4 linked regions of the Xenopus tropicalis genome follow. The protein of the gene in region 4 binds, or shares a complex with, the protein of the main gene of each other region. Links are inferred from orthologs where the notes say so. Each region holds a gene or a part of one and is shown on either strand. Other genes may lie near its edges. The genes, in order: tctn1, tmem67, tmem107 and ahi1.

Evidence for each region.
Region 1: ahi1 (region 4) and tctn1 share a complex: the UniProt entries of both Homo sapiens proteins name them as parts of the tectonic-like complex. The link is inferred for Xenopus tropicalis from reciprocal best matches to the Homo sapiens genes AHI1 and TCTN1.
Region 2: ahi1 (region 4) and tmem67 share a complex: the UniProt entries of both Homo sapiens proteins name them as parts of the tectonic-like complex. The link is inferred for Xenopus tropicalis from reciprocal best matches to the Homo sapiens genes AHI1 and TMEM67.
Region 3: ahi1 (region 4) and tmem107 share a complex: the UniProt entries of both Homo sapiens proteins name them as parts of the tectonic-like complex. The link is inferred for Xenopus tropicalis from reciprocal best matches to the Homo sapiens genes AHI1 and TMEM107.

Annotation. Positions count from the first base shown.
Region 1 is NC_030677.2:162,901,178-162,907,020, reverse strand, and holds part of tctn1 (tectonic-1 precursor), read right to left. Parts: intron 5,261-5,843; coding exon 5,135-5,260; intron 3,821-5,134; coding exon 3,738-3,820; intron 3,109-3,737; coding exon 2,968-3,108; intron 2,145-2,967; coding exon 1,982-2,144; intron 1,030-1,981; coding exon 907-1,029; intron 1-906. UniProt on the Homo sapiens protein: Component of the tectonic-like complex, a complex localized at the transition zone of primary cilia and acting as a barrier that prevents diffusion of transmembrane proteins between the cilia and plasma membranes.
Region 2 is NC_030682.2:127,745,927-127,751,769, forward strand, and holds part of tmem67 (meckelin), read left to right. Parts: intron 1-224; coding exon 225-315; intron 316-827; coding exon 828-927; intron 928-1,361; coding exon 1,362-1,431; intron 1,432-1,987; coding exon 1,988-2,062; intron 2,063-2,151; coding exon 2,152-2,214; intron 2,215-2,886; coding exon 2,887-3,041; intron 3,042-3,127; coding exon 3,128-3,236; intron 3,237-3,488; coding exon 3,489-3,581; intron 3,582-3,841; coding exon 3,842-3,907; intron 3,908-4,573; coding exon 4,574-4,730; intron 4,731-5,379; coding exon 5,380-5,503; intron 5,504-5,843. UniProt on the Homo sapiens protein: Required for ciliary structure and function. Part of the tectonic-like complex which is required for tissue-specific ciliogenesis and may regulate ciliary membrane composition.
Region 3 is NC_030679.2:144,534,344-144,540,721, reverse strand, and holds the start of tmem107 (transmembrane protein 107), read left to right. Parts: upstream 1-2,020; 5' UTR 2,021-2,127; exon of another isoform or gene 2,128-2,144; intron 2,145-6,378. UniProt on the Homo sapiens protein: Plays a role in cilia formation and embryonic patterning. Requires for normal Sonic hedgehog (Shh) signaling in the neural tube and acts in combination with GLI2 and GLI3 to pattern ventral and intermediate neuronal cell types.
Region 4 is NC_030681.2:71,849,792-71,856,292, reverse strand, and holds the start of ahi1 (jouberin), read left to right. Parts: upstream 1-2,786; 5' UTR 2,787-2,967; exon of another isoform or gene 2,968-2,988; intron 2,989-6,501. UniProt on the Homo sapiens protein: Involved in vesicle trafficking and required for ciliogenesis, formation of primary non-motile cilium, and recruitment of RAB8A to the basal body of primary cilium.

The sequences.
Region 1 (5,843 bases), on a different chromosome or scaffold from region 4:
TCTCGCATTTTCATGCGTATATTGGCTACATGTGCCTGCACCCAAGCGTATTCCATTCATTCGGGTGCAGGCACAAGTAGCAGGCGTAGGGCTGAATTTTCGCCAAGCGTTTTTCCGCTTGCTGAAAATATCAGCCCTATGCCACGTGTGGCATCAGCCTTACTGCAAAGGGTCAGCCTGTGTATGGCAATCTTTAAGGAAAAGCTTTAAGATGAACTCTTAGTTAGTCTATGGCAGGGACATCAATGGGGGTACAAGGGCAACTGAGGCCCCACTGCAGAGATTGAAAAAATCATAAACCATAGGTTGCTGAAGGAATAGGGCTTGTGGGTGGGGTTTGTAATTGGGGAGTGGCCAGGGCAGATTAGAGTTAGGGCCCCATATTAACAGGTGGTAGGGTCCACCACCAAAGGGGGCCCAGGTGAATATTGGGTTAATAATTTGGGCCAGGGTGACTATCTGTACAGCTGGCCATATAGTAGTGAATGAATCCAGATAAATGTGTCAGTAGTTTTAGGGTGACAAGCGATCCTACCATTACGGATTACTCAAGGCATTAGTGGTCATTTACTAAGTGCAGGGCAGGGAACAAAGTGTAAAACTGACAGAATCACTTTGCACCCTGCCCAGTACTGCTCTAAATTTCCACAGGTCTCCAAAATGGATTGCACAGACCTGCATTCTACCTTGAATACAGCCTTGCCTGCTTTTGGCACTAGGTGCACAGCAAGACCCCAGACACAAGTGCTTTTTTTAAAAAAAAATATATTATATTAAACGCTATGGTCTAATTTTAGGACAACATTAACTTTATAGGCTCTGACTAAGTGCAGAATATAAGTCCTCTATTTATGTTTAGTAAATAGTTATTTCTTTGTGCAAAAAAAAGAGCTACATAGTACCTACCTGGACAAAAGCATATGTTATCTTTTCCGTAACATTAACAATCTGAGCTTGAGGATTTACCAGAGATCCATATTTTGTCCATCTCACTTCTAAGTCTAATGAAACTGGGATTTTGCAATCAGCCTTTGGTGAAAAACAAATATTAAGAAATTCAGCGATGTGAATATGTAGCAATAAAAAAAAAAACCATAAGAAAACACTGAGCTAAAACAGTTGAAGCTTTTCACACATCCAGTCTACATGTCTCCTGCATTTAAATTCTATTATGAGTCCAGGATGCTGGGAAGGATCCTGATTGGGCATCTCAGCTCTGTAACATTTTTCTTTTATTATTTCCTTTTTCTCTGTAATAATAAAACAGTACCTAGTAATTGATCCCAACTAAGATATAATTAATCCTTACTGGAGGCAAAACAGCCCTATTGGGTTTAATGTTTTAGTGATTTTTTAGCAGACTTACAATTATGGTGATCTAAATTACAGAAAGACCCCCTTATTCATAGAACCCCAGGTTAGAGCCATGTGCGGACTAATTTTTTTAAAACCCAGACCCCCAATCCGGACCCGTGGCCTGAAATCAAAACCCGCATTTTAACCAGCATGGACCTGCTACCCAACCCTCAACTGCCTTATCCGCAACCTGTTCCGTGACCCGCTTGACAACCATTAAACAGGGAGTTTTATTGCTGCAGACCGGAAGTGATATCTGAAATGGAGGGGGGGGGGGAAATGAGAAAAAAAAGTTTTAAAGTGTCTAAAAGGAGTAAAATATAGATAATGTAAGAAATATAGATAAGACCCGCATCTATATTTGCATCTGAAAAGCCTACCCGCAACCCGCGGGGTGCCTGCTTTTTCTGCAGGTATCCCACGAGAACCCAACCACTGCAGGACTCTACCCCAGGTCCCACACATTCTGGATAACAGGTCCTATACCTGTAAAAAAGATATTTTTTGCAGTGTTATAAATGATTGGAATTGTTTTATGTGTTTGGCTGCTTTATATACCATTATCTATACTTCTGACTGTGACTGCAAACATGTTTGGTGCAAAAACGGAAGTACAGAACGTTACCGTTGCGCTTTGTGGTAATGTAGAAGTGACAACAGTAATTGGTACCCAGTCCAGAACATTCTGTGGCTGAGAATTCCCAAAGGATGCCACATACTCGGGAAACTGTTGCCCTCTCAGCACATTCAAGATGGCAGTTGCTGCAACTTGACATGGTACAGGATACCTGGGGAAATAATCACATAATTACAATTATTCTCTAGTCCATACTGTATAGCAGAGGCCCCCAGATCCTGCTGATCTACAATTACAGAAATCAGTTAGTGGGGAAAGCTTTGCAGTGTCACAGATTATTTTCAGTGCAATAAGCCGCTGTACCTTTCCTAAACCAAACCTGCAAAAATACTATTTATATATACATACACATACATACATATATACACACACACACATATATATATATATATACACTTTATTATGACGAGGAGTACGGCCACAGATCAGTAACCACACATGCGCTGGCATGAAACAACCTGCTGGTAACTCAAATGCAAATCCTTCATCTTTCACTTCCTTTTTACTATGAAAATGTGAGGCAAAGGGGATACAGGAAACATTATAGACTGATGTATGTATCAGTCCAGGCTACATGGTTCCTGGGTGCATTATATTCTGGTTAAATATGGTTGCATATAAACTGGCTACATTTTCAGTGACTTTTATTGAGGCTTATCTGATGTATCTGTAACGGGGTGTTTCATTAAAAAAGGAGAGAATTCTTGCACATATTGCACCCAATTTACCCACCCATGTGCTGGGCTACATCAGGCTGATCTTACTGGTGCTGGGTCTGAAGGGGCTCAGTTAGCAGCTTTTATCAGCCCATGTTTGGCCAGCTTTAGTTTTTAGAACAAGATTCATTAAGTCATATTCAAGTTGTAGCACATTTATAGCTTTCATTCCCTAGTGTTAATATTACTGCTTAACCATGCCCAAATCATATAAGGTTTAAGGCAGCTCTGCTATTATACAGTGTTTGAGTTACTTACTGCAGTTTACAGCCGGATACCATGTTGTACCCAAACAGCACTGCTGCCCTGTTGCCTTCTTCTGTTAGACAGTTTTGGCCAGCTGAGCTTCGTAGAATAGTTAGTTGGGCAAACCTGTTTGTGTTCTGAATAATGCCTGATTTATACAACTGTTAAGAAATATATATATATTATGAATACACAAAGGAATACACGTATTTAGATCTATTCATTTTAAGCTCTTCATTTAGCTCTATTCATTTTAAGAACAGACCTGGCAAAGCTCTAAACTGCGCCATGTGTTTAGTGCCTATTGGTAATAAATTATTAGGCCCAACTACATCTATAATTTGTTTTCTAATTTAAGTTAATTTAACTGGATTTGTACACCACATTGGAAAAGCATACTGGCCACATACCTGCTTCACTGCCAAAAGGATACTGACTGACCCTTGATGTGGCTTGATAATAAAATCTAGTAGGCAGTGGGCCTACACAGGCCAACCAGGAACGGTATTTGACCAATTTGGCCCATAGGCTGAACAAGCAGATTCTGTTTGAGGGGCCATATATGGCAAGCTTGTCTCTCTGCTGTACACAATTTTATTGTTACACACACACACACACATATATATATATATATATATATATATATATATATATATATATATATATATATATATATATATATATTTGGGCTGTTTTTTGCTCTAGTCCTCTAGTTTTCTAATATAGATGCATATTCATTATAGTAGTTAGACAGTTGGGTCCGTGCCACAAGAAAAGGATATTGTGGTTCCTTAAAGCCAGCAATGACTGGTAATCCAACTATATAGCCAGGGTTTCCACTGAGAAGAGATGGGAAGGTTCCATCCTGTAATCAATAAAACAATTTCAAAATCAAGTTTAGTTGGATCCAGAGAGATTTGGTATAACCATAATACTGCCTGCCATCATTACCAACTCTCCTTAATTGCATCATTAATGAGCCTATTCCCATCAAAGTGTGATTGGTGAAAATGACTGCCCGCAAGCAGCAACAGCTACTGGGTTAGGTTAATGATTTGTGAGTGGTAGAGAAAAACAAACACTGAATTCCAATTAATCAACAATTATCTTGTATGTAAAGACAAGTGTTGCTGCAGCACAGATTCCATTTGGTCTAAGCAATGATAGGCTGAGCCTATGATATCCAATGTGTGAAAATAAGCAGCAACAAAAGCGAGTAAGGTGGTAGCACTTGATTAATCTGTACAGCCCTACCACTCCCCAAATCATTCACTCACTATTGCCTTTACTATCCTGTGGAATGTTTTAGATTACCTTTTGGCACATCATTATATGCGATAAGCGTATTTTACTGGGACTGAAAATTCATGTGTCAGCTATGTACTGTAATACAGGGCAGAGGCACCACTTGTATAAGGGAAACTGCTTAACATGGCCAATATAACTGTCTCCAGAAAGACAAGTTACAGTAAAAAAAAAATATAGTCACTTGGGTGCAAACATTTTTGTAATTTTATCCTATATATATTAAAGGATAAGGAAAGGCTAATAAAGAGTTAATCTCAAGCTGCAGGCATACCTTCAGTTCTCTCAATAGTGCCCTTAAGTCTCCCCATATTTCTCCCATAGCCTCATAGGAAAAAAAAATGCTGAGCTCTGTAAAAAAAAAGTTCCCATAATGCCTCGCTCCTGCACCAAGACCAAGACCGGTGTACATGCTCAGTTTGTAAGACTATGAGGAAGCTTCCTGCTGATTGGCTAAGATCACACATTCCTAAGGATGGGGGGGGGGGAGTTTTTAGCATTCTTGAGGGAGGGGGAGCAGGAGAGGGGAGAGGGCTGCGTGTCTCTGGCACAGGAAAACAAAAGAGAAAAGAAATCCTGTTTCTTTTGACAGATAAGATAACTTTCTGTGAGTGCTTATGGCTGTATTTACATAGACCTTTCTGATAAAGCTTACTTAGTTTTTACCTTTCCTTCTCCATTGATAATTCTAAATAGAAATATAAAATATGCAAAATAAAATCTTTAAAAAAAAAAAAAATATATATATATATATATATAAGAGCTTTCAATCTTAAAAGTATTATTCAAAGCACAGGACTGATCCGATTTTATATGCACACACTTATACATTCTATATAGTCACTGCAAAAAAAAACAAGAGAATAAAACACACCTGAACAAAAGAAACTTTAAAACTTTGCTGAACTGTTCCCAGAGTAGCGTTAATTACTCCCAATATGAGGAAAGCATTTACAGCTGTAATTGCTCCTTGTTCTGTGTATAGGATCTGGTAACTCCCCTGAAAGGCAAGCATTAGAATTCAGTTTTATTTGCTCTACTTTCATGTTTATAGTGTATAAAGAATCAGTGACGTCCTGATACACTGTCATAAACCGGAGTAACAAATGCTAAGTGAGCAGCCCCTCTTGTACTGGTTATAGGCTGTATTTTTTGCATGTAAATCTGTATGTTCAATGTATACACCCATTTATTATACAGTACTGCAGAAGGTGTTGGCTCTTTATAAATTTGTGTCAACAATAATCATATAAAGGCTTCTGTATCAGACGTGCTGTCATGAAAAATGCTAATACTTTTAAGGGAAATTATACCGACCAGGTATGAACTGTACAATAAAGATTGTGCTCATAGAGTAAAGAAAGCAGGCTTTTATGTCTTAAAGGAACAGTAACACCAAAAAATGAAAGAGCTTTAAAGTAATAAAAATATAATGCACTGTTGCCCTGCACTGGTAAAACTGGTGTGTTTGCTACAGTAACACTACTATAATTTATATAATAAGCTGCTGTGTAGCCCCGGGGGCAGCCATTCAAGCTGGAAAAAAGGAGAAAAGGCACAGGTTACATAGCAGATAACAGATA
Region 2 (5,843 bases), on a different chromosome or scaffold from region 4:
CTGACAAGCTATTTGGGTATATAATCAGAGGGTTTAGCTCCCCAATAATAGCAATGCTCCCAGAGAAATAGGCAGATAATTAGGTCTCCCTGGGAGGAATATATACCAATACATTTTACTTAACATTTCTGGAAAGTATATGAAACCCTAGAAAGGGTAGCATTTCCCTCTTAAGAAGTGTCTAACTGTTTTGATTTTGTCTTCTTTGACTAAAATCATTATAGGGTGTAACAGCAGATGGATGGAGTTGTATTAAATGCCCCAATGGGCTGAACTCAAATGGGAATTGCCTCTGTCCTCCAGGAAACATTTTGGGTAAGTAGGATATTTTGCATTTTAATAAACTGGTGCCTACTTATCCATGCTCTTCTCCAATCCTGTGCTAAGGAGTTTGGTTGACTAAAATTGTAGGTAAAGTTCTCTAATTCCATCCATAAAAAAGATGCATATGCAGCTCCAGAATCCAACTGTACTGCTTGACAGTAGCTATAATGACACAACTTATTTTCATGGAAAAAACATTCAAATGTGCAGTCTTTCTCCGATGGAGATATATAAAGCCAGTGATGAGCTGTAAAAGCAGATTCTTGCACATCTACAGATACCCCATGTACCAGTCAAGATTAATTCAGTGGCTACATGCCAAGGTTTATGCAATCCCTTTCCAATAATGATAAAGTGTTCATTTCCAGAAGATGTGAACAGTTCCAGCGTTCCTTTTCCAGCTAGCATGTTGTGTCCCTCACATGGAGGCATACATGGACAGTTAAAATGCACTTGTCACAAAATCACAGGCAGAGTAATATAGCACATAATTTGTATTTTAGTGGAAAGAGATGTGAATGGCTCCTTGCTGTTAGAAGCAGAATGCATTGACTGCGATGGGACTGAACCTTCCTTCACTGCTGCCAACACCCTAGGAAACAGGTGAGTTTACTTAACCCATATTATTATCAAGAAGTCACAATGTTTTGCTGTCTGTATGATTTCCAGCTTGGTAAGTGGCAAAATGCTGTTAATTGACCCTTAATTGACTTTAATGGTAATCACTTGAAACCATTAAAGTGCACTTGTGGGTACTGTAGTTACTTGTGGGTACTAGCATGTGCAGTGTAAATGTGCTCTAAGAGGCATATTTTTACATTTCTTTGTGCTCTAGGCCCTGCCATGTTAAGTAAAGTGATGCCCAAACAGCTGAAAACAGTCTCAATAAAAATTGACTGTCTATAGAATGTTACAGCATTTGCCAGAATATACAGATTGCCATTGTGTATGTTTGTACCAGTGGTTTGCGCAGTTATTCTACCTGAGTTTGTGTATGTTTTCATTGCTCTAATATTTTGCTCTTTTTGTATGTCTAGGTGTGAACGGTGCCATCACACGGTTATCAACAGGAGTAACTCATGCAGCTGTAACCAGCCAAATATTATGGTAAGAAAGTCATTTAGGGTCATAGCGCAACTGTAACTAGCACTCACTATGTATTAGGGACTTGCCAAATTCAGGTTTCTGTTGAGAATTTGCAGAACCTCAACGCTTTTGCAAGATATTGTTAAATCCCAAGTGCCTGGCTAAACCAAAGCCTGACTGTTAGGCTGAGAGCACACAGAGCATTTGCTCCGCTGCTCTTAGCCTGCAGTTTTTTGCAGACTGAGAGAAGTGAATCTGATCCCTTACACACTTCAGTAAAAATTAATTGACAAGTTCAGCTTCTGCCTCCTCTTGGCTACACAAACTTTTCAAAGTAATAGGCTGTGCGAGAAGGGAGAGGTGAAGGGGGGCGATGGAGAGCAGTTGAGGGGGGCTTTTGTTCCTGGGGGGTTTAGTTCTTCTTTAAAGTCATATGACTTTAGAGCAGTGGGCAATTGAAGGTGACAACTTTCTTATGATGTAATTTTTTTGTGGATTTTGCTCAAATTTGAAAATGTGTCCAGTGAAAAATAGAAGCTCATGCAACATTTTTTTTATTTACTTACATATTTTCTAGACTGGAGGCATATGCTATAATGCAGCGGGGAGTATCCTGTCCAAAGCTCTTCTGACTGTTCATTACAGCCAACTGGTGAGACCCTATATTGTGTTGATGTGTTTGCTTGCAAATTTACATAAAGTAGGAAACCCTGAGAATGTATCTAACCTTTTTTCTTTAAGGGTTTGATATTGCGATCAGAATGGTTTGCCACGCATTTGCAAGCATCGGCTGCAGCTTGTCTGGTAAGATTCTCTTAAATAGCTTTTTTTCTAAAGCTGGCAAGGTTGTCAAACAATTGGATCTTTACTTGATTTGCCCAGTGAAATCGTGGGCCAAATAAGGATGATTTCATTTTTTTTAGTGCAAAGCAATTATCAGATTATAATGGGGCCCTGCAGTGATCTGTCTGGCAACAAGCCTTTATCTTTGTGATGTTTGGCCCTTGCTAGATACATTTGCTTTTTCGAAAATGTGAGTTTTGACAAATTTGGTTTTTTTACCCTTCTCCTGTTTCCCAGAAGAAGCTCATTGAGTCAGATCAGTGACTTTTTTTAATTGTTTCAATTTGATACATAAGTTGATAGTTACTTAGTAGCTGAACTCATGCTAAGCATAAAGCTTAGGTTTTAGAAAACGGATACAAATTAGAAAATGCAAACAAATGGCAAACGTAATTATTTGTGATACAGTGTTTTAATAAATGACTAGACATTTGTGGGTTTAGCGGAAAATAGTTTATTTGTGGTTTCAAAAACCTCTTAAACCACAAAAATAAAAACAAACACAAAAAAAAATCAATGTTGATAAATCTGCCCAAAGTGTTACATTAGATGTAAGACCTTCTACAAAATATAGTTTAACTGAATTGCAGAAGAGCTTGTAACATGGTGCCTTTATTTCTCTTCCGTCCATAGATGTACAGTAATCAAACATCATGCCAAGCTCTGGGGAACATGTGTGTCATGAACATGCATTCTACAAGTATTTCCAGTGCTGACGCTTGCGGTCTGTTCCAGTACATATTTACAAGCACAGCAGGTCTAGGAGTTATCCATTCCCTTTCATACTGGCAAGTGTGTTTTCTTTTTGTTGGTAGAAAAAAAAAAGCACTGCCCACTGGAAAATTTACAAGAGTAAATATCATGTCTTCTACAGGCGAACAAATCTGCCATGGCTCTTCTATGGTGACCAGCCTGGACTGGCTTCCAGGACTCTTGTGTCCTCTCCAGTTCCCACAAGCTATACTTTTAAAGAAAGTGAGGAGGTATGAAAAGGCCACCAAAATTGAGCTGGAGTGAGACACTGGCCCATTACAATGGAAAGCTGAACAGCTTGTTCTAATATTTATGCATGGATGGATTCTTTTGCAGCATTTGAATTACAAATGTATAAGTGATTCAACATTGGTTCTGTGGCACTTTTTGTATCATGGTGGCAATGTAGAAATATACCCTGTATGTGACAGTCCCAGGCAGCCCACAGATACAAATAGGAATCTGATGTGCTTCCTTCCTAGGTAGAAAATACCAAACTGCAGTTTCTAGCGGCTGTGTATGACGTTCGAGGGAATTTTATAAAATGGCAATCATTGGCTGGAGGACTACTGCAGGTATTTACATTTTTATTTTTATGAAAATTTATAGATCAAGAGATATGGGGCCGCAATGTAGTAGATGGTGACATGACACTTCAGAGAAGAACGTTATCATCATCAGTACAGAGCAGTACAATAGATATGTCAGCATTCTTATTCTGTGGTACTAAGCCCAGCTCTGCATTTAAATGTAAGGGAACTGTTCAGTAAGGGATACATTTCCCACCCCAAAACACCAAACTCACCCACTGCACAATTTTTTTTTTTCCTTGCAGTTGTGTCCTGATATTGTGGCCAGGATAGATGCTGCTTTCAGCTTTGGAACAACGTATAAACAAGAAGTAAGCATTAAATATATCTCTAAATACAAGAGCAAATAAATATCCTGTAAATTATATTCTTATAAATAGTACTTAATGATGTCATCAGCTACAATCGGTGCTTAGTGATGTAATTTCTCTCACACGACTCATTGGAACTTGTATATTCTGTGACTTCGGAAAGCCGAAGCGATGCATAAAAACAAAATAATCTATATGTGCTTCATAATTAACAATAATTGAAAGAAAAGGCAAATATATAACTTCATTAAGTTAAACGAGATTAGTCGCTGCCGCTAGAGGAGATTTATCCTCGTCTGTCATTGGCCTTAGTTGGCTTATGTTGAAAAAAAGTGTATTTAGGCATAGTGCCCCTTTAAGCAGTTTTATGTCCTGTTTGTTTAGTGAGATGTTTCTAATTAGGATCCAGCTGAAAGTAAAGAATAAGGAGCTGCCACTTTACCAATGTATCTTCTTTTGGAATGTACTGTAGCAATGGCTTTCAGTGGAAACCAGTTTGGACACCTAATCCTTATTTATACTTGCATGTACAGTACATTGCAACTGGGCAGTATGTGTATTTATGTGTGTGTGTTCCTGTGTGCCCACAAAGAGATACATAACTACACATACACACACAGTATATTTTGCTACCCGTGTTCACTTGGTCATATCATTCCTTTGCAGTGTAGAATTAGTGTTTCTAAGCTCCTGCGTGACCACCCCGAGCCTGTGTTCTATGATGTGTATCTGGCCTACCCAGGGAATGAGAAGCAGCAGAATCTCCTTCCTGTGCCAGTCCTGAACCTGAACCTCCAGTACCATGAAATGTTTGTTAACCAAGGTACATTCTATGGACATTTATATGATTGATGTATGTGATTATACATAAACCAGTTCAATTAGATGGGATCCCTTTAAAGGGATTTTGTCATGATTTTTATGGTGTACTTCTTATTTCTAATTACACTGTTTAAACTGCACATTTTAAAATATGTGTTGTATTTTTTAACCAGTATCAAAATTACATAATATGTAATTTAACAAGGTATAATTTTTTGATCCAAAATTAGCGGCTTACTGTCCCATGGGATGGTGTTGCTTAAAGCCAATGCAGTCCTGATGGTACTGCAGGATGTCTGTGATGCACCAGTGTTATAGACACAAAGATAGCCTAGCAGTCCACATTATACTAGCTTACAGCCAGTTATAGTGTTGATTTGACAACCCTTGGCAAACATTTTTATCACCAATATTACTGTTGTGTCAACCTTGCACTTTGTTTATTTGAATGTGTCTCATATTTTTACAAAAGGCTGGTGTTTTGCCACTTCTCTTTCGGTAGTAGGCAGATAAACAGCACTAGGAATTCCAAACAGTGACACTCTTGGGGGGGGTAGTGGAACTTTTAGTTCAGCTAGGGCTTCAGGTTGGGGCACTATTGGCGTAGAATTTTACTTCCCCTTCACTAAACATAATTTGTCTTGTTACAGGAGACAACATCAACAACTGGCTCTTGACTCGCCGAATCTTCCTGGTGGATACTATTAGTGGGCGAGAAAATTCTCTGGCCGATCCTCCAAGGCTCATTAGAGTGGCTAGCAAAATCACAATCAGGTAGAGTGTAAATTTTAGCACAATAGCACAAATTTTAGCACAAGTTTGTCATGTTATTGCGCATTACATTTTTATAAGCTTGAAGATAGTACAAGAGAGAGTATAAAAAAAAGTATTAGTATCATGGTTAATTTATTTGAATTATTGTTATTATGCTTTATTTGTAGAATGCTTACAAGTTTATGCAGGGCTTTACAGAGACTGCTTACTTATTGCAGAGCCAATTAATTAGCCTACTAACATTCAGACTCTTTTGGATAGTGCTTAGTTCAGAATCAAGATCAGGACACCAGTGTTGGAAGTACATTATTGAATCAAGCACTCTAAAGGTAATTTACTA
Region 3 (6,378 bases), on a different chromosome or scaffold from region 4:
TGGGGCCTAGTACTGATCTAAGCACTTCTCTGCTGGTTTTTCTTTCACTGCCTTCCTCCCAGTGCGCTGCTGTTTCAGTATTTGCATTCCACTAGTTCAAGCTCCTCATCCTGCCGCTTACACTTAGTATCAACTTATTCCAACAGCTTCCTCCTTATAACTCTGTCCCCTGACTGCTTCATAGGAGAATCTTCTTCCATCAAAACCTCCTCAAGAAGAAGATCTTCATCTGCCATCTGATCTCCATCTGCTTCTCCCCACCATCTCCTTGATCCAACTGCTTCTTCCCTGAGAGACCTTCATCTCCTTCTTCCCACCATCTCCTTGATCCAACTGCTTCTTCCCTGAGAGACCTTCATCTCCTTCTTCCCACCATCTCCTTGATCCAACTGCTTCTTCCCTGAGAGACCTTCATCTCCTTCTTCCCACCATCTCCTTGATCCAACTGCTTCTTCCCTGAGAGACCTTCATCTCCTTCTTCCCACCATCTCCTTGATCCAACTGCTTCTTCCCCGAGAGACCTTGATCTCCTTCTTCCCACCATCTCCTTGATCCAACTGCTTCTTCCCTGAGAGACCTTCATCTCCTTCTTCCTACCATCTCCTTGATCCAACTGCTTCTTCCCTGAGAGACCTTCATCTGCTTCTCCCCACCATCTCCTTGATCCAACTGCTTCTTCCCTGAGAGACCTTCATCTGCTTCTTCCCACCATCTCCTTGATCCAACTGCTTCTTCCCAGAGAGACCTTCATCTGCTTCTCCCACGATCTCCTTGATCCAACGCTTCTTCCCTGAGAGACCTTCATCTGCTTCTCCCCAGTATCTCTTTCTATCGATCTATCAGTTTACCTTACTACACCTTCTCTCTCCCTCCTGCTGTTCTGATCAATCAGTAATCGGAACAATAGAAAGGCATTCGTAAGCCAGCCATACACGCACAGATGTTATCATCTCGTACAATATTCGGTGCGTGTATGGTGACTTGTAGAGGCGACCAATATCCCAGAGGCTGTGGATATCGGTTGAAGGCGCCATTGAAGGCGCCCGAGCAAAATCTACGTTCAGGGCTGAAGGAGGTAGAATTTCTATTGTTTCTACCTCCTTATCTGATGATTCAGCCCTGAACTTCAGCTACGTGTATGGCCACCTTTACTTGTATGCTCTCCATCCATTTGGCTTAGGGGCCACTCTTTGGAGAGCGTTCCAGATGGGCCAATGCCTGATTAGAAGATCTAGGCAGTTTGTTATACAGCCCTACACATTTTGGGGAGTGAAAGATAGCTATATCTGTGGGCCCCAGGGTCGGACTGGGGGGGGTGCAGGGCACACCAGGGCTCCCGCCCTAACCCCCCCAACCCCCCACAGGGTCCCCCACCCGACGTCCTCCCCTGAGCTCCCGTAAATTTAACGCCTCAGGGGAGGAACGGTCGGGCAGGGGGAGCGCCGGGATTTGTCCCGGTGTCCCAGCGGCCCAGTCCGACCCTGGTGGGCCCAGATAGTCAAGGGGTATGCACAGGGAGGTGCTGCTTCCCCCGCCCCCTGGAGGGTGGGAAAGAAACAATGTTTCAGGAGCCTAAACCACCTGTATAGAGGATATATAAATCCCTTGTGTAACTTCCCATGCAGTTAATTCCCTCACTGTGGGAAGTAAAGTCATAATGACGTCATTATACCCAGTAATATTCCCAGGGTGCATCAGGCCTGTAGTAAGAAGGTAGCGTGGCCGAGCGGTCTAAGGCGCTGGATTTAGGCTCCAGTCTCTCTGGAGGCGTGGGTTCGAATCCCACCGCTGCCAACTCAGCTTTTTATTTTCCCCCCTGCATCTATGGCTTGATATATTTTCGCTCGAACTGTAACTTCTTTTCGATTAGCCGCCATTGTGGAGGCTTTGCATCTATATATATGTTAGTTTGGGACAGGTTTCATAATCAGGGATGTGTCGTCGCTTTTACGACAAAGCGCTAAAACTTCCAGCTACAATAATGGCGGACTTGCCTTCTGCCCCATGTGACCGGGGCTCAGTAGGTGAATGGTCAGAATCTCCTGAATCCTGCGCGTTTTGGTTAGGACGCTGAGGGGTTGCTAGGCAACGGTAAGCGGCGGGTTTTCGGCTCGGAGATTGGAACGGGTAAGGGTTTTGTTCCAGTAAGTTACTGGTTTAACTGGTCTCTGCCCGGGGAATACTTTGTATGTGAGATATTTAATGGTTAATTTATACAGTATAAGTAGCTATAAAAGTCTGTATATATTATATGAGAGGGTTGCCGGCCTGTATATACAGTAATAGGAGTCAGGGAAGCCTGTATATATTATATGAGAGGGTTGCCGGCCTGTATATACAGTAATAGGAGTCAGGGAAGCCTGTATATATTATATGAGAGGGTTGCCGGCATGTATATACAGTAATAGGAGTCAGGGAAGCCTGTATATATTATATGAGAGGGTTGCCGGCATGTATATACAGTAATAGGAGTCAGGGAAGCCTGTATATATTATATGAGAGGGTTGCCGGCCTGTATATACAGTAATAGGGGTCAGGGAAGCCTGTATATATTATATGAGAGGGTTGCCGGCATGTATATACAGTAATAGGAGTCAGGGAAGCCTGTATATATTATATGAGAGGGTTACCGGCCTGTATATACAGTAATAGGAGTCAGGGAAGCCTGTATATATTATATGAGAGGGTTGCCGGCCTGTATATACAGTAATAGGAGTCAGGGAAGCCTGTATATATTATATGAGAGGGTTACCCGCCTGTATATACAGTAATAGGAGTCAGGGAAGCCTGTATATATTATATGAGAGGGTTGCCGGCCTGTATATACTGTAATAGGAGTCAGGGAAGCCTGGATATATTATATGAGAGGGTTGCCGGCCTGTATATACAGTAATAGGAGTCAGGGAAGCCTGGATATATTATATGAGAGGGTTACCGGCCTGTATATACAGTAATAGGAGTCAGGGAAGCCTGGATATATTATATGAGAGGGTTACCGGCCTGTATATACAGTAATAGGAGTCAGGGAAGCCTGTATATATTATATGAGAGGGTTACCGGCCTGTATATACAGTAATAGGAGTCAGGGAAGCCTGTATATATTATATGAGAGGGTTACCGGCCTGTATATACAGTAATAGGAGTCAGGGAAGCCTGTATATATTATATGAGAGGGTTGCCGGCCTGTATATACAGTAATAGGAGTCAGGGAAGCCTGTATATATTATATGAGAGGGTTACCGGCCTGTATATACAGTAATAGGAGTCAGGGAAGCCTGTATATATTATATGAGAGGGTTGCCGGCCTGTATATACAGTAATAGGAGTCAGGGAAGCCTGGATATATTATATGAGAGGGTTACCGGCCTGTATATACAGTAATAGGAGTCAGGGAAGCCTGTATATATTATATGAGAGGGTCCCTGGCCTGTATATACAGTAATAGGAGTCAGGGAAGCCTGTATATATTATATGAGAGGGTTGCCGGCCTGTATATACAGTAATAGGGGTCAGGGAAGCCTGTATATATTATATGAGAGGGTTGCCGGCATGTATATACAGTAATAGGAGTCAGGGAAGCCTGTATATATTATATGAGAGGGTTACCGGCCTGTATATACAGTAATAGGAGTCAGGGAAGCCTGTATATATTATATGAGAGGGTCCCTGGCCTGTATATACAGTAATAGGAGTCAGGGAAGCCTGTATATATTATATGAGAGGGTTGCCGGCCTGTATATACAGTAATAGGGGTCAGGGAAGCCTGTATATATTATATGAGAGGGTTGCCGGCATGTATATACAGTAATAGGAGTCAGGGAAGCCTGTATATATTATATGAGAGGGTTACCGGCCTGTATATACAGTAATAGGAGTCAGGGAAGCCTGGATATATTATATGAGAGGGTTGCCGGCCTGTATATACAGTAATAGGAGTCAGGGAAGCCTGTATATATTATATGAGAGGGTTACCCGCCTGTATATACAGTAATAGGAGTCAGGGAAGCCTGTATATATTATATGAGAGGGTTGCCGGCCTGTATATACTGTAATAGGAGTCAGGGAAGCCTGGATATATTATATGAGAGGGTTGCCGGCCTGTATATACAGTAATAGGAGTCAGGGAAGCCTGGATATATTATATGAGAGGGTTACCGGCCTGTATATACAGTAATAGGAGTCAGGGAAGCCTGTATATATTATATGAGAGGGTTACCGGCCTGTATATACAGTAATAGGAGTCAGGGAAGCCTGTATATATTATATGAGAAGGTTGCCGGCCTGTATATACAGTAATAGGAGTCAGGGAAGCCTGTATATATTATATGAGAGGGTTACCGGCCTGTATATACAGTAATAGGAGTCAGGGAAGCCTGTATATATTATAAGAGAGGGTTGCCGGCCTGTATATACAGTAATAGGAGTCAGGGAAGCCTGGATATATTATATGAGAGGGTTACCGGCCTGTATATACAGTAATAGGAGTCAGGGAAGCCTGTATATATTATATGAGAGGGTCCCTGGCCTGTATATACAGTAATAGGAGTCAGGGAAGCCTGTATATATTATATGAGAGGGTTGCCGGCCTGTATATACAGTAATAGGGGTCAGGGAAGCCTGTATATATTATATGAGAGGGTCCCTGGCCTGTATTTACAGTAATAGGAGTCAGGGAAGCCTGTATATATTATATGAGAGGGTTACCGGCCTGTATATACAGTAATAGGAGTCAGGGAAGCCTGGATATATTATATGAGAGGGTCCCTGGCCTGTATATACAGTAATAGGAGTCAGGGAAGCCTGTATATATTATATGAGAGGGTTACCGGCCTGTATATACAGTAATAGGAGTCAGGGAAGCCTGTATATATTATATGAGAGGGTCCCTGGCCTGTATATACAGTAATAGGAGTCAGGGAAGCCTGTATATATTATATGAGAGGGTCCCTGGCCTGTATATACAGTAATAGGAGTCAGGGAAGCCTGGATATATTATATGAGAGGGTTACCGGCCTGTATATACAGTAATAGGAGTCAGGGAAGCCTGGATATATTATATGAGAGGGTCCCTGGCCTGTATATACAGTAATAGGAGTCAGGGAAGCCTGTATATATTATATGAGAGGGTCCCTGGCCTGTATATACAGTAATAGGAGTCAGGGAAGCCTGTATATATTATATGAGAGGGTCCCTGGCCTGTATATACAGTAATAGGAGTCAGGGAAGCCTGTATATATTATATGAGAGGGTTACCGGCCTGTATATACAGTAATAGGAGTCAGGGAAGCCTGTATATATTATATGAGAGGGTTACCGGCCTGTATATACAGTAATAGGAGTCAGGGAAGCCTGGATATATTATATGAGAGGGTCCCTGGCCTGTATATACAGTAATAGGAGTCAGGGAAGCCTGTATATATTATATGAGAGGGTTACCGGCCTGTATATACAGTAATAGGAGTCAGGGAAGCCTGTATATATTATATGAGAGGGTCCCTGGCCTGTATATACAGTAATAGGAGTCAGGGAAGCCTGTATATATTATATGAGAGGGTCCCTGGCCTGTATATACAGTAATAGGAGTCAGGGAAGCCTGGATATATTATATGAGAGGGTTACCGGCCTGTATATACAGTAATAGGAGTCAGGGAAGCCTGGATATATTATATGAGAGGGTCCCTGGCCTGTATATACAGTAATAGGAGTCAGGGAAGCCTGGATATATTATATGAGAGGGTTGCCGGCCTGTATATACAGTAATAGGAGTCAGGGAAGCCTGTATATATTATATGAGAGGGTTGCCGGCCTGTATATACAGTAATAGGAGTCAGGGAAGCCTGGATATATTATATGAGAGGGTCCCTGGCCTGTATATACAGTAATAGGAGTCAGGGAAGCCTGGATATATTATATGAGAGGGTCCCTGGCCTGTATATACAGTAATAGGAGTTAGGGAAGCCTGGATATATTATATGAGAGGGTTACCGGCCTGTATATACAGTAATAGGAGTCAGGGAAGCCTGGATATATTATATGAGAGGGTTGCCGGCCTGTATATACAGTAATAGGAGTCAGGGAAGCCTGTATATATTATATGAGAGGGTTACTGGCCTGTATATACAGTAATAGGAGTCAGGGAAGCCTGGATATATTATATGAGAGGGTTACCGGCCTGTATATACAGTAATAGGAGTCAGGGAAGCCTGGATATATTATATGAGAGGGTTGCCGGCCTGTATATACAGTAATAGGAGTCAGGGAAGCCTGGATATATTATATGAGAGGGTTGCCGGCCTGTATATACAGTAATAGGAGTCAGGGAAGCCTGGATATATTATATGAGAGGGTTGCCGGCCTGTATATACAGTAATAGGAGTC
Region 4 (6,501 bases):
TTGTTGTTGTAATAGTGTTTCCCAACTTGTAAATGGTCTAATGACTCCTTCCAAACCTACTGATTTCAGTTGGATACCTGTATATAGTTCCATCGGTTTCTAGGGTGAAGGCCCCATCTTTTTTGTATTGTATGGAACGGGATTATTTTTCCATTTTCAATTAAGTGGTGTAGTTTAGTGGGAGTATTTTTTTATTGTTGACCACTTGTCTAGTTGTCCCTTTTCACAACTTGGTGGGAAATTAGGGTTATTCAATAGTTCTAATTCTGGTGATGGGAATGGCAAAATATTTTGTCTTTGTTGTAAATAGTTCCAATTGGCTCCTATTGTGGGATGGTTTTTGAGTTGTTGAGGTAAGTCAGAGAAATTCAGGTGCATTAGGTTACATAGATTATATTTTGTTTCATGCTGTTCAACTTCTTTCCATAATTTAAAGATTGTCTCCATTTCCAGAGACATGTTCTGTGCATGTGGTTTGCTATATAGTATTTTTCCAGGCAGGGAAGTGTCAATCCTCCATCTGCTTTTTGTGCTATCCGGTATTCATATTTAATTCTTGGGTGCTTTTTGGCCCAAAGAAATTGTGAGAATAACGATTTGATCCTAAGAAAAAAATTCTCTGGTAGCTTAATTGGAATCATTTGATAGAGGTATAATAGTTTAGGCATGACCATCATTTTTAGCACATTGGCTCTACCGAACCATGATATTGATTTGCCTTGCCATTGGTTTAGCATAGACTCAATTTCGTTGGTGAGTCTGCCTGGGTGGGGGGCTAAATTGATTCCTAGATATTTTATAGTTTCAGATTTAAATTCAGCCATTTAAAGGGGAAAGAAGTTTGTAGATTCTGTGCTTGAACCAATGGGATATTTATGTTGAGAATTTCAGATTTTGAGGAATTTATTTTGAAATTAGATACTTCGCTGAATTTGTTAAATTCTATAATTACATTTGGGAGGGATATTTGGTGGTTAGTGATTACTGGCAGTAGATCATCAGCAAAAGCTGCTGCTTTATATTCTTGGGTGCCAACTTTGAGGCCTGTTATGTCTACATTTTGTCTGATGGAGGTTATCAATGTCTCCATGACTAACACAAATAAAATTGGGCATAGGGGGCACCCCTGTCTGGTCCCGTTTGAGATTTCTAAGGCTGGGGATAATATACCATTTACCTTTATTCGTGCGTAAGGTGCATGATAAAGTGCCATAATTTGTGCTGTTAATGCTGGTCCGAACTCAAAGGTTTGTAATGTAGCTTTTAGATATGCCCAGTTGACCCTGTCAAACGCTTTTTCAGCGTTGGTTGTTAAAAAAAAGTGAAGGTGTTTTCCTCTTTATGGCTAGAGACATGAATTATTTTTGTGGTATAATCTTTGACCTCTCTGCCTTTCACAAACCCTGTTTGTTCAGGGTGGATTAGTAAAGCGGTGATGATTTGTAGCCTGCTGGCGATCATTTTGGCATATGGTTTTTGGTCCAGATTGAAGTGAAATGGGCCTATAACTGCAGCATACTGCTGGGTCTTTGTTAGGTTTATGCAAAACAGTAATTTGCGTTCTTGTCTGATATTGAGTTAAAATGTTTTAATAATATGGGGATTATTTGTTGTTGAATTCTTTATAGAAACCTGCGCTATAACCATCTAGTCCCGGGCTCTTGTTGGATGGTAGATAATTAATTACTTTTGTTATTTCTTCTATTGAGAATGGTGCTTCTAGTTGTGATTGTATATGGTTTGATTTTGGGGAGGTCTAACTTTTTTAGGTATTGCTCTTTTTTTAGCGTTTTGTTTTGGTTGTGGGTCCCTGGGTTTAGATTGTATAGGGTCTGGTAAAATTCCTTAAAACATTTTGCTATATCTGGGTAGGTATGATTAAGTTTTTGCTTTGAATCTTTAATTTGTGTGATAAAAGTTTTGTTTTTCTGCGTTTTTATTAGTCTGGATAGGATTTTAGATGGTTTATTTGCCAATTTTTTATATATAATATTTGCCGTAGTATTCTCTTTTACATTTTAAATATGCTTTTTCGGTGAACTAGTCTAGTAGGTGTTTAGCTGAATTCTTTCAGTTTCTAACTCGGTTTGTATTTTGTTGGCCAGTGTTGTCTTGTGTTTGCTCTCTAAATTGTGAATTTCTTGCATTAGTATTTGTATATTAGCGTTATTCTGTTTTTTCATTTTTGTGCTGAGTGCTTTTAGGTTACCTGTTACTACCTTCAGTGTTAGGGGTCATAGTGTGGAGGGGTCTGTTTTAGTGAGGTTATTAAACGAAATTGTATCTGATATAGAAACAGATATTTCCGTTCTAGTTTGTTTCTGTAATAATAAGAGTTCATTAAATTTCCATACAAATGAAGCTTTCATGGTGATGGGGATCTCAACAAAGTATAACTTTTTTTTCCCCCTAAACTGTGAAAAGCAATGCCCTCTTAAACAAGGGACAAAATGCCAAAATCCCAGTTTAATTACCTATTCCTAAATCAGCCCTAGTTGTCCTAAAATTGTGAAATATTTCTGGGACTCTCTGACGCCACAATGGTAAAAGAGCTTAATTATTGATTACTATGGCTATTTTCACCCATTTTCTCCTAAATTCATTTTTTCTTACCCTAAATTGTGCAATAAAAAGTATTTATTTTTGAATCCCTGACAAAAGTAGGAGCTCCCTGACAGCACAGCGAAAGTAATATGCGAGCAGACAAGCGCCCTGCTGCGCCAACCCTCACACCAACGCGCGTCGCTCTACTGTCCCTAAAACCACTGAATGGTGCGTCCCTAGTACGTGTAGTTGTGACGCCGCATTCTCGCGAGATGAGAATTGGGGATTAGCTGTTCTGAGGTAGTCAAGGAGCAGGACGTAAACAGTGTTGCGGGACATTTAAGCTGCGACCCGAGGCTGCGGGCTGCGTTGAGAAAAAGCGGGACTATTGGGCGGAATGCAATACCTTGACGTGCAGATGTGGTAAATGAGAACATTTCTACAGTATGATTTTGTTTTTCTAAAGTTATTAAAAAAAATACAGCTGTACCCATTTGTAATATGTATTAATTGTATTATTTGACCTGCCGTAGACGCTGCGGCGCACTATGACAATAGCTAATTAGTTATTAATGACTGTGATTGTGCAAATTTGCCTACTGCTAACATGTGCACTACTATCCTGATTTTGATTAAATTGTTTTTTATTTTGTTCTGTTAGCTTTTTGGTCATACTGTGTTATGATCTGAGGCTGCAGATTGAAGACTGTTTATCTTTGCAGAGTACCATGATAATAGTGATTGGTGGCTGGGGGATTGAATCCAGGAAGGATCAAGTGACTGATAATGTTTTACCATAAACCGGTTCCCTGGAACACTGGTGGTGACATCTGTAATCCTATAGCGAAATGACTCCAAGCACACCTCCCAGTATTTGAAAAATCTAAAGAGGGACAAAAAGAAATGCAGTGCATATTGCAATTTTTTGACCACGCCCGTTTTTGTGACCACACCCCCTAAATACCACTCCCATTTTTACCATATTTGGCAGGTTATTTAAAATTTGAACAATTTTTGGGGGGTTTGGGGGTCATGTTTTATTTGTTATTACAGTTTTGCTTAAAAATGTGAAATTGCCCTTTAAGCTGTATGTCTCAGTTCCCCCCAAGAGACCTATTTAGTAGTGATGTGCGGGTTTACCCACTGATTCGGGCTGGCAGTGCAACATCAAAAGCAGGTTTTGGTTGGGTCAAGCCCTTCTGCTTTCCTCCCCGCCTGCAGCCTAACGGAGCCCCAATACCGGATCTGGCAGCGTCTATTTATAGGCGCGTGCCATGCCCACTCCCTCAGTAATGTCATTGGTGGGGTGGGATCAGGTCTATTATTAGTATTTATATAGCACCATCAATTTACGCATTGCTTTACAGAATAGAGTGGTACAAAAGACATAACAGTTAACATGTATATATAAACAATACACAAAAATGGTTTGCAGTTACATTGGATGAGGATCGGAGACACTAGGGGGAGGGCCCTGCTCGCAAGAGCTTACATTCTGAAAATCTGTAAATAGACATGAAGCTGCAGGCCAGGTCAGGTGCCGGTGGAGAAGGGACGGGTTAGGGTCGGGTGTGGGTTGACAAATAGTAGACCTGCACATCACTACTGTTTAGCTTATTAGTTACAATTGTATCTAAGTGCTCGTGTTGCTTGTTAACTTTTCTGGGCTCTCTGCCAAAAGCTGCTTGTTTAATTAAGTTTCAGAAACATTGTATCTTTTTTAGCATTCAGTGCAGGAGATGAAAGTGAAATGAGGGACTTTTCAGTAAGAATCCGGTCTGAGCTGTTGAAATAGGGACTGTCCCGCATCGGGATGTTACTGTGCGCATTGTTACAGTAGGCATCAGCTTGTATCTGAATTTAGTAGTCCACAACAGGTGGAGGTCTGGTGGTACTGTAACTCTAATTTTCCTTCTCTGGTGAATTAACCTTATATCAAATGCACTAGAAGTATGCACAAAAAATATAAATCTAACTACAGTGCTGAGTTCTCTTACCCAGTGGTGGGAAATTCTGTGTTTTTAGTTTCAAATGTAATGTTTTTCTAAACAAGCTGTGGTGCTATGATGGCTGCCACTCAGCGCATTAGGGCTGTTATATGGGGGCTATTAAAGGTGCCAACGTTGCCCCTCTGGACTCATTCTGCAGCTTGTGTGTCGACTGGTCCGATTGCCATCTTGGAGTCAGGAAGGAATTTTTTCCCCTCTGCGGCAAATTAGAGAGGCTTCAGATGGGGTTTTTTGCCTTCCTCTGGATCAACTAGTAGTTAGGCAGGTTATATATAGGCATTATGGTTGAACTTGATGGACATATGTCTTTTTTCAACCCAACTTACTGTGTTACTATGTTACTATGTTACTATGAAAGGGCCTGCTGTGACCAAAAATTAGCCCAGTATCTGTCAGAGAGGTTTGAATATCCTGCATGCATCAGCAAGTTGATGCAATCCTCCTTCAAAAAGCCTCCCTAGGTTTAAAGGAGAGTGAAAGTCATTTTGGCATTTTACTGCCAATAGATTCCGCAGAAAGCATTACCATACCTGAGTAAAGAGCCCTTGAAGATTTCTCAGTTTGCTTAAGAGAGGAAGTCCGATACCTGAAGAACATGTTTACAAAAAAGGAGACAAGAAATCCTGTGTTTCTTTTGATAGAGGACTCGCGTTTCTGTGAGTGCTTATGGGTGTATTTACATAGACCTTTCTGATAAAGCTTACTTAGTTTTTACGTTTCCTTCTCCTTTAATGTATGATCTGCTTGTTGGCCCCTGTGACAGAAAGTGTATTTTATCGCTGTCCACAGAGATAGTGTGATAGCCTTTATTTAAGATATGGGACTTGCAGAAAATAGATATTTGAGACTATTGATAAACTGAGGACTGAAAGAAGAAACATCTATCACAACCTTCAGTGATACCACATACTTTAGGACGCCTTCAGTGTTTTTTTTTCCCAGGACTTGATTCTTTCTGTCATTTTTCTACTTATTATACTCACATTTCATGAAGTAAACTTGTGGCCTACACTAATATTGTATTTTAAGCTGAAACATTGCCTGCTGGAGGGGGCCAGGTGCAAGGCTGACCCAATAGGACAAATATGTTTTGCCAGGTATTCCTTTCTCCATTATTTACAATTCAATGCCTGACACCACTTTACATGAAACATCCTTAAAGTTGACATGTCACCTTAAAGGAGAAGGAAAGGCTAATAAAGAGTTAATCCTAAACTGCAGGCATACCTTCAGTTGTCTCAATAGTGCCCTTAAGTCTCCTCATACTTCACCCGTTCAGAAGATCAGAAGCCAAACAGGAAAAAAAACCGATGAGCTGGGTAGAGAAGATTCCCATAATGCATCGCTCCTTCAAGACTTGGTGACTTGTTACTGCAGGCGGCGCATGTGCACAGGGCAGGAGCGTCCGTTTGCCATGGCGACGCAGCGTCGCCAAACTCTGTGACAAGGAGGAGGGGGAAGCAGGGGGGCAGGTGCTGCGAGCGGCAGAGGATTTGTGGCAGGAGTGGGGGGGGGTTTGTGGCAGGAGCTGCAGAATCTTTGTGACAGGAGCGGGGAGCTGGTTTGTGCTTTTCAGCCCATACAGACACGCTGGACAAGATGGCGGCGCCGTTCACTGAAACAAGTATGTAAGTTCTAGTATGTGGATCTCTGTAAATCTTTCATTAGGCAAGCCAGGAATATAGCGTTTTTACACAGCAATAGTAGTACTATTTAATAGTGTGCTTAATAGATTTTGACTTTTTTTCTCCTTTAAGAAATAATCCAATTTTTTCTGCTTTGTCAAGTAAAATGAACTTCACTTACACTATATAAATAATGTAAATCTTGTTTCCTTAAGTCTTGGAATTACCCAAACACAGGCAGGCAGGTGCCATGTGGTTGAAACTGTAATTAAGGCAAGCTTTGTATCATGCCAAAATCTTGTGTATGCACCAGAACAGGGGAC